Drosophila melanogaster: one gene and its partner. Changing the gene in region 1 together with any one later gene gives a genetic interaction. Each region holds a gene or a part of one and is shown on either strand. Other genes may lie near its edges.

The links.
Region 2: of PGRP-LB (region 1) and pirk, changing one enhances a phenotype caused by changing the other (phenotypic enhancement), as found in Drosophila melanogaster (one study listed by BioGRID).

Annotation. Positions count from the first base shown.
Region 1 is NT_033777.3:11,458,454-11,462,383, reverse strand, and holds the start of PGRP-LB (peptidoglycan recognition protein LB), read left to right. Parts: upstream 1-1,831; coding exon 1,832-1,937; intron 1,938-3,930. UniProt on the Drosophila melanogaster protein: N-acetylmuramyl-L-alanine amidase involved in innate immunity by degrading bacterial peptidoglycans (PGN). Probably plays a scavenger role by digesting biologically active PGN into biologically inactive fragments. Has no direct bacteriolytic activity.
Region 2 is NT_033778.4:21,661,371-21,665,300, reverse strand, and holds the start of pirk (poor Imd response upon knock-in), read left to right. Parts: upstream 1-2,305; 5' UTR 2,306-2,613; intron 2,614-2,796; 5' UTR 2,797-3,383; coding exon 3,384-3,930. Other genes in the region: CG42363 (uncharacterized protein), read right to left, coding at 1-109; CG42362 (uncharacterized protein), read right to left, coding at 329-787.

The DNA of each region.
Region 1 (3,930 bases):
GGCACACGTGGAATACAGAAGCAGTGAAATGCCAAGATGCCACCGCTGTATAGACTTAATACACTTTCGGCACACACAAATTCACTTCCTTAATTGAAATTTTAATTTGAATACTTTGGCAAAGTTTTGGCCGACAGCCAGCTAGCGAGTGAGACAGCTCAGGCAGCAATAACAAACAGCCAAAAAGTCGCCGAAATCCAAATTCCCCGCCACCCATTTCAGGACCAATACCCCCCACCCAGCCCCTTACACAATTTCGCCCCGCGGATCCTTTGCGCTGGCAATCTCGCACAGGCTCAGCGAGTTTTCAATTTACGCGCCTCGCGAGTCGTTTGTCATTTTATGCGTCCTAATATATGGCATGTGCGTGCCGCTACAAGGATACCAGCAGCAGTATCCTTCGCCACCGCCTGGTATCCCCCCATGCTCAATTTTGAGGGGATACCAACCAGCAAGGCGTAACTAATCAGCACAGGCAATGATATGGCGACATCTGATGAATTGTTCGCACAGCCGAAGATTTCAATTGGGGGTGTTGGCATATACATATGTATATATATCTAAATGAATGTGCACGCAGAGAAAATTAATGTATCACTTACTATCACGATCGAAAAGCACTCCATTAAGTCCAAATCTGATGCCAAAATTAAATAAGGTCAGTTACTTTAAAATGAAAAAAAAACCCCCAACGTTATCTTTCAGCCGACGGGGAAGAGAAAAAAAAAAACCCGGCCCTTGAATTCGTATCATTAAATTACTACTTCTCATTATTGCCTGATATTCACAGTTGGCTCTCGGGAGCCATTTATAACGATTGCGATTATTCCGATAGGGAAAATGAAATATTGAAAACAGATAGGACGGCCAGTCAGTATCCGCGTGGAAATTATAGTGTGTTTCACTTTGCGCTATAGATAGATATAGATAGACTCTCCCACTTGCATGGCCAACGCCATCAAAGAGTTTTCATTGTGGCCCCGGGGATTCCCAGACGAGTGCAATTACTTTTGTTAATTGTAATACACACAACCCCAACCAACCAACCAACGCAGAGACACCCGTTTATTTGTCTAATGTGCGAGAGTGTAAAGCTTCTGGCTCGATAATGTTTACCTGGGTGAATACCCCACCACCACCTGGAGCTGGAGCTGGTGCTGGGGGGGGGGGGGTTATAAAAGAAGGCCTGTGATTTTGCGTGTGATTTTTGCCCCCCCTCGAAATTTTTTACTGGGAGAGCGTGCCAAGGCGTAGTTAGTGAGCGGCACTTAATACCCTGATAAGATGTGCGATTAGCGGGCAGCCAGTCGAATGGTAAGTTATGAGCACAATGGTCAGCGCTTCCAGCTGCCAAAAGTCGAATGCGCAATGCTCTAACCGGGGATTTTCGATCGGTGATAATTCAATTGATTTTTATCGCATATTAATTGTATACCCGATTTATTTGGGGGATTTTTGTAGGACTTAATGCATTTTCTAAACAAACATCTCGTATTAATGAGTACAGATATATACGAAACATTTTTCGCTGTGTGTTTATCTGATTTGCACACCTGGGTCGTTAAAATATATTTATTAGCATTGTATATCCACCTGCTTGGGCCCATCAAATTGACGACCCCATGCACACGAAAATAATTGTTAAACGTATTTATTTTTCATTTAACCTGCGGATTTAAGAACTTCCAAGTGGTGGACCTCTCGAAGAAAGAAGAGCAACTCAAGATTACAAGACCTAATCAACGGTCCCCTTGTTGCCAACGAACATAGAAAACTGCCTCTAAGACTTCGGACTTCATTTCAGTTAGCGTCAAAGACATTGGCAAACAACATGGGCGACAAGGTGTCTGGATCCGTCTCCACTTCTGGCCCAACTTCCTTGGCAATCCTCATGGACTCGGAGCAATTGGAGCAGCAACAGCTGGCCACAAGTTGTGGTAAGTAGCGCCGCAACTATTTTGCTGCTGAAAACAATTCAACAATTTCCAAGAGCGTTTGAGAGAAATTTCCCCTTTTTGAAGTGTAATAAATATTCCAATGCTGGGCGAAGGGGGGGGGGCGGTGTGGTCTGCGTGTTTACCTTGCCACAAGTATAAACAGCAAATAAAATAAGACAAGTAGAGGTTGGAGGAGAAAATGAGTCCGGTGATTTGGACTTCCTTTGGACGAGGCGCCAGAACGCATCTGGCGGTTATCCCCCGAAATTTTCGACTCGAAAAACCTGTGTGCACACAAAGAAAAAAAAACTAATTCAGATTAAGAGCGAGATGAAGATGAAGATGGAATGTGCTTGTTCGCCATAAATCGACGACGGAAAATAAAACGCTGTTAATTTGTCTAGCCATCCGATCTCGGCACTCCGACTAAAGCAATTTAATACCAGCCGCATTTGCAGCGGGATTCCCCCAAAAAAATCAAAGCGATCCCACCAAGGGGCATCCCCGATTCGAAAATACAACAAAAACAAAAATTAAATCACACGAATACATATTATAAAAGAGTATGTCCGGTGCCGGTGGTCAAAGAAAGCAAATGACACAGAGAACGACGGGGGCAGTGATGCTGTCACAGCAACCAGCCATAAAAAATCACGGTTTTGAGTTTTGGAATCGTAAACAACTGAAATCGTGCGAAAAGAATATCAGCTTTTATAGGAATATAATTTAAATAAGATATCATGTATCCTTACGTGTAAAACAAAGTAAACCCAAACTATTGAAACGATTCAAGTTGGTTCTTATAAAGGATTCAGACTAAAAGAATAATCTTTCCACTATGAACATAAAAAATGAGAATACATTTCAAAAATGAATTCAATTAAAAATCTGTATCTAAGTTAATATAAAGATTTCATTGAAATGGTTAATTTACATTTTTAAATAAGGAATTTCGTACGAAGAAATGTCACATCTGCGAGCTGTCAACCTTTGTTTTAACTCTAGTCTGTGACTATGTATTTAGATGGCATCAGCCGAATTTCCTGACTGCAAAAAATATTCAACAATTCAACTGTCACCTCCAGCTATGGAAATTGTTCGTTCATTTATCAAAACACAAGAAGTAAAACCGCAGATGTGAGCTCAAAAACGCAATATTACCATTTAAAAAAGAGATGGTTAAAGCAACGGATGACTCATAGATTTCATTTTGGGCGAATAACAGTGACATTAATAAATCGCCACAGGGAGATTCAAAAATAACGTAAACTTAGCCATTGGCAAATGCTAAGTTCAGTTCGCAGCTGTCTGATTATTTGCACAACCAAAGTCTTGAGAATTGGTTAAAAAAAAAAAAGTTCCCCATAGCTGATTTATGCCCTCGATAGAGGGTTCTTATCAGCAGCGACCTTCGAGAATGACCGATATTGAACTAGTTGAATGAGTGTCATTCTGATCCGTATGATCAGCGATCCGTATCACGGTAATCTAATCGTCACTTGCCAAAACAGTTGGGATTGTTAATCACTCACGCTTGTCGGAAGTTGTTATTGCGGGGCGTGAGTCGTGCCCTATAGTCTATGCAACGTTTTCAGTGATTAACCCTAATTGGTTATCTAAGTGTTGGGCCAAAGTGTAGTCATTTCGTGCACGCGAAGAAAAGTAACGATTTTGAAATAGGTTCACACATGAACAGTGGAACAGTAATCACTCAATGCAAAATAATCAAAGCTAATTTCAAACAAGTTGGTTTAAGTGAAAACGTTTGGCTGAATAAAGCAAATATTGTCTGGTGCCAATATTTTCTTTCTCTGCACGCGTATCTGTCATTTGGAATGTCGATTCAGAGTGACACGTGTGATAGCCCTCGTAGCCGCAGCGCTTGAAAAAGAACCCTTCGGATTGGCAAAAAAAAAAAAGTACCGGCGATCGGAGGAGGTAAAATGCGGTTGAATGGGGCCAATAAATTCGCGGCGGCATGGGTAATTCACCG
Region 2 (3,930 bases), on another chromosome or scaffold:
TCTCAAACTCGAACTCAAAATATGCCTTAGGGTTGCTTGTTTTCTGTACCTTGTAATATAGTTCCTCGGTTTCATTTCCAATACTTAAAACGTTTGTTGTTGACGTCATTTTTGAATCTAAAAGATACTTCGTAAGTGGAATATCCTAGCATGAAACTCTTTCAGCTCACCTGCTTTAGTATTAATAATGCCCGTTTGTGTTGTTTTATTTATTTACTAATGAAATCATTTCGGGTACAAGTTTCCTCAAAGCTCTAAATTAGTGATGGGTTGATTTTGTTTATAAACAATGGGAACAACGGTGAATGGCAAACAAACCACCTCCTCTTCACCTCCTCTTAGTGTTTTCATTTAGATAACACAAATATGAGTAAATATCTGATCTTTCTTGATCCAAAGCGTTGGAAACAGTTTTGATTATGAAGTTCCTCGAATCCTTCGGATACTTAGCAACGTTTTTGGATATCCAGTGCTCCTTGCCAATCACATTCTTTAATCGTCCCAGAATACCCTTGGAGTCAAAAGTGGGTCCGCTTATCATCCAGCCATTTATCTTATCAGCCGGACCGAACTCGTAGTAGTATCCGTTCTTCTTGATTTCTTTCGCCGCAAATCTTTCGACGGATCCTTCATCACAAACATTTGTCAAAGGCTTGCCGCCATTCAGTAAAATTTTCTGTAAGTGCTTCTCAAAATCAGACACAGAATACTCATTGCGTGTTTTTGTGCTTTCGAAATCTCCAGTGCTCTCAGTGCCAATAGTCAAAACATTCGAGTTGTTATTCATAATTGTTTATATTCCTACTACCGATTGGCGTTGGTGTTGTACACTAAAGTATGATTTCGTTATGGGAGCGCTTTTTATTTGCTTACTTATGAAATAAGCACCAATAAAAGCTCACGTCAATAGAGATGGGTTCTTTTTGTTTATAACAAACTGTGAATGGTTAGTAACATATGTTAGGGTGGTTCTTAAGAGTGTACTTAAAATCTAAATATATCTACTTCATTTAATTTCTTTTAAATAACGACTACATTAATTAATATAATGTCGCTTGACTCTGTTTCTATGTCCCTAAAAATTTGACTTCAAATTTTAGATGTTAAATAGATCACAAATTTTCACATTTACCTATTTGCTATTTTATATATTTACTTTACGAACTATTAGAGATGACATGATTTTGTTTATAAACGTTGTTTGTTTAAAAATCGGTGTGAATGGCAACGATTTCATTTTGGAGTGGACCTACCATTACAATACTAATTTAATCAATTAGCTGATTATACATTTCTAAATTTATACATTTTATAAACAATTTAAATAAAAAATAATTTAGATTTTTAACTGCATTGGCTATTTAAAATATTTGACATTAATAATAAATGCATTATCTTGTTATCTGACACATATGCAATATTAATGCTTTTAACACCCCATCAAAAGTATTAAAGTATCTGTCAGAACAAGTACATAACGTTCACTTATTTCGATCCAGAACATGAAACACAACAAAGCAACGCCTCGATCTTAATGAAAGATAAAACATCTGGCATCGGTGATTTTTTGGTCGGTGGGGCTTTAGTACCGGTATTAGACGCGTGCTAGATAGTGGCTGCAGGTGGTAACAGTTTTGATGGGTTATGGGTTGTGATCGAGGGGGTTTTTTCCTGGGCTCGCACAATTTCTCCATTTGTGTGCGCTGTAACTGCGCCGTGTCATATCTGATAATACACACGATTTGCCGTTATAACGCCTTCACACCGAACAAGGCTTCATACGATTATAGCTTTTCTTGAACTTTTGCTTTTGCTTGGCGAGCACACTTGAGATAGCTGCAAAAAAAGTCCCCGTTTACTGGCCCAAAACAGCGATCTGGCAAATAAATCATTTTATAATTTTCCGCAATAGATAATTGATTTGTCAACAGTGAATGCACCTTGAAAATAATAAAAAACGACCTTCTCGGCAATACACCCCTTTCATTTGTAGCCCCATAGCTGCGGTGCTTTCCCCGCACGAGTAAACATTATTGGGCCAACTGTTTAGATGCTAGCGTGTTTATTCAGCTGGCGATCTAGATACATATGTATGCTTGACTTGGCCGGGCTTTGCTCAGCTCCAGGCTTCCCAACCGACTGAGCTGGTCACTTGAACTGGCAACTCAGCTTGGAACGATCGCAGAAAATGACAAGATCGAGAATCGGAAGCTTTCGGGATATATATATAAGTAAACATATGTAAATTAAATCGAATGCCAATGAAGTCGATTGTGCAAATTACGGGTGAGATTTTTTTGTTTGTAAACAAACAGGCTCGTGAAGCATCTAGAGGAAATCATTGCCTCCGTTTCACAGATCTCACTTGGCAACTGCGTAAATATTTATCAATTTCTAGTGCTTAAAACTTTATCATCGGTTATCGTCGGTTATTACCCCTTTAGGTTGGGGTTGGTGGGTTTTTGACTCCGCGTTTACGACTCCCAAAAATGGAAATCAGCAACTATATCAGTGGACTTATTAATGATAAGAGAAGTTAACAAAAATCCCCATCAAAGTTGGGTCTGTACTGCATAAGTTGATAACAGTCTACACAGCGAAAAGTTACAATGCGTAAGTAAATAAATTCCACTTTGATGGGTCAAGACCCGAATAACACCCATTACTATTAGGGATAAGACTATAAGCACATCATTTTAGGAGAAACTATAAAACGATAAGATACAGTAATAATGTTTGAATTTACTGGTGCTGTTAACTAAATATATATTTAAACTTTATTACTATATGCTGAAGATTTGGCTAGCTCAAGTCGATGGACGAGCCCATTGCGAGGGCACCAACAGGTGGACATTACTCATGCCGAATAAATTCGGCGACCCAATCAAAGGTCTCCCCAGATGGCGAGATGCCTTTAAGTTCGCGACTCTCATGCATACGAGGTGATTTTCGTGCCGGCCCTCGGGCGAAATAAAAAAGCCCCGGCGCTAGACTCTCCGGCGGATATAAAAGCGGTTCCCGAGCGGCATTAGCGTTCAATAGCCAAAGTGCCAGCGAGCGAGCGAGCAGTAAGCACGGCGAAAGCGATACCAGAGATCGCCAAACTCAACGCACAATAAAAGTTCAGAAAACAGAGGGAGTTCCCCTGGCGGAAGCAGACGATCCCCCAGCGCTGAATTGAATACAAAAACAACACACACAATTGGATATCTTTGACCTTAGCCATCCGGATTGCTCATCATTCGGAGTCTTCCCCCAGCGACAGAGACGGAGATAGAGATAGGAAAAAGAGTTGGAGAATGAGCTAACCGACAGACTGGACGGTGATTTTTACGAGTGATTAGCAGCGGAAAGAAACGATACCGGCGGTAATTCACACCAAAATGGGCGTTCGTGTGATAGAAACCGATTCGGCGAGCGATTCGTATGACGATGACGAGTGCTCCACTTGCCAGAAAGAGCACGAGCAGGGTAAATCCCCCAATAAGAGCAAGAAAAGTTCCACGCCGCCGGAGACAACCATCTACGCCAGCAAGGATCTGGTGGGCAACTGCAAGGAGTACCGCATTGAGAACAACACGCGCGATCTCAGGATCATCGGCAATGGCAACCGCATACGGATTGTGAACAACTCCGGGCAACTGCAAGTAATCGGCAATAGCACCAGACTCAAGATCCAGAACAATAGCGGAGCCCTCAAGTACACGGGTAACGACGGAAGGATCTACCTGGGCAGCAGCTCCACGCAGCAGGTGGTCGACTACACGGGCTGCAATGGACTGCTCAAGGTGGTCAAGTCCCTGGATCTTAGCGGCGATGCCAAGAAAAGGCCCAGCTCTCGATCGAAAAACGCCAAGCCAACGCCAACGGATGCTGGCCAAGGCAAGTCCGGCGGCATTGAGATCGACAGCAATCTAACGATACGGCACG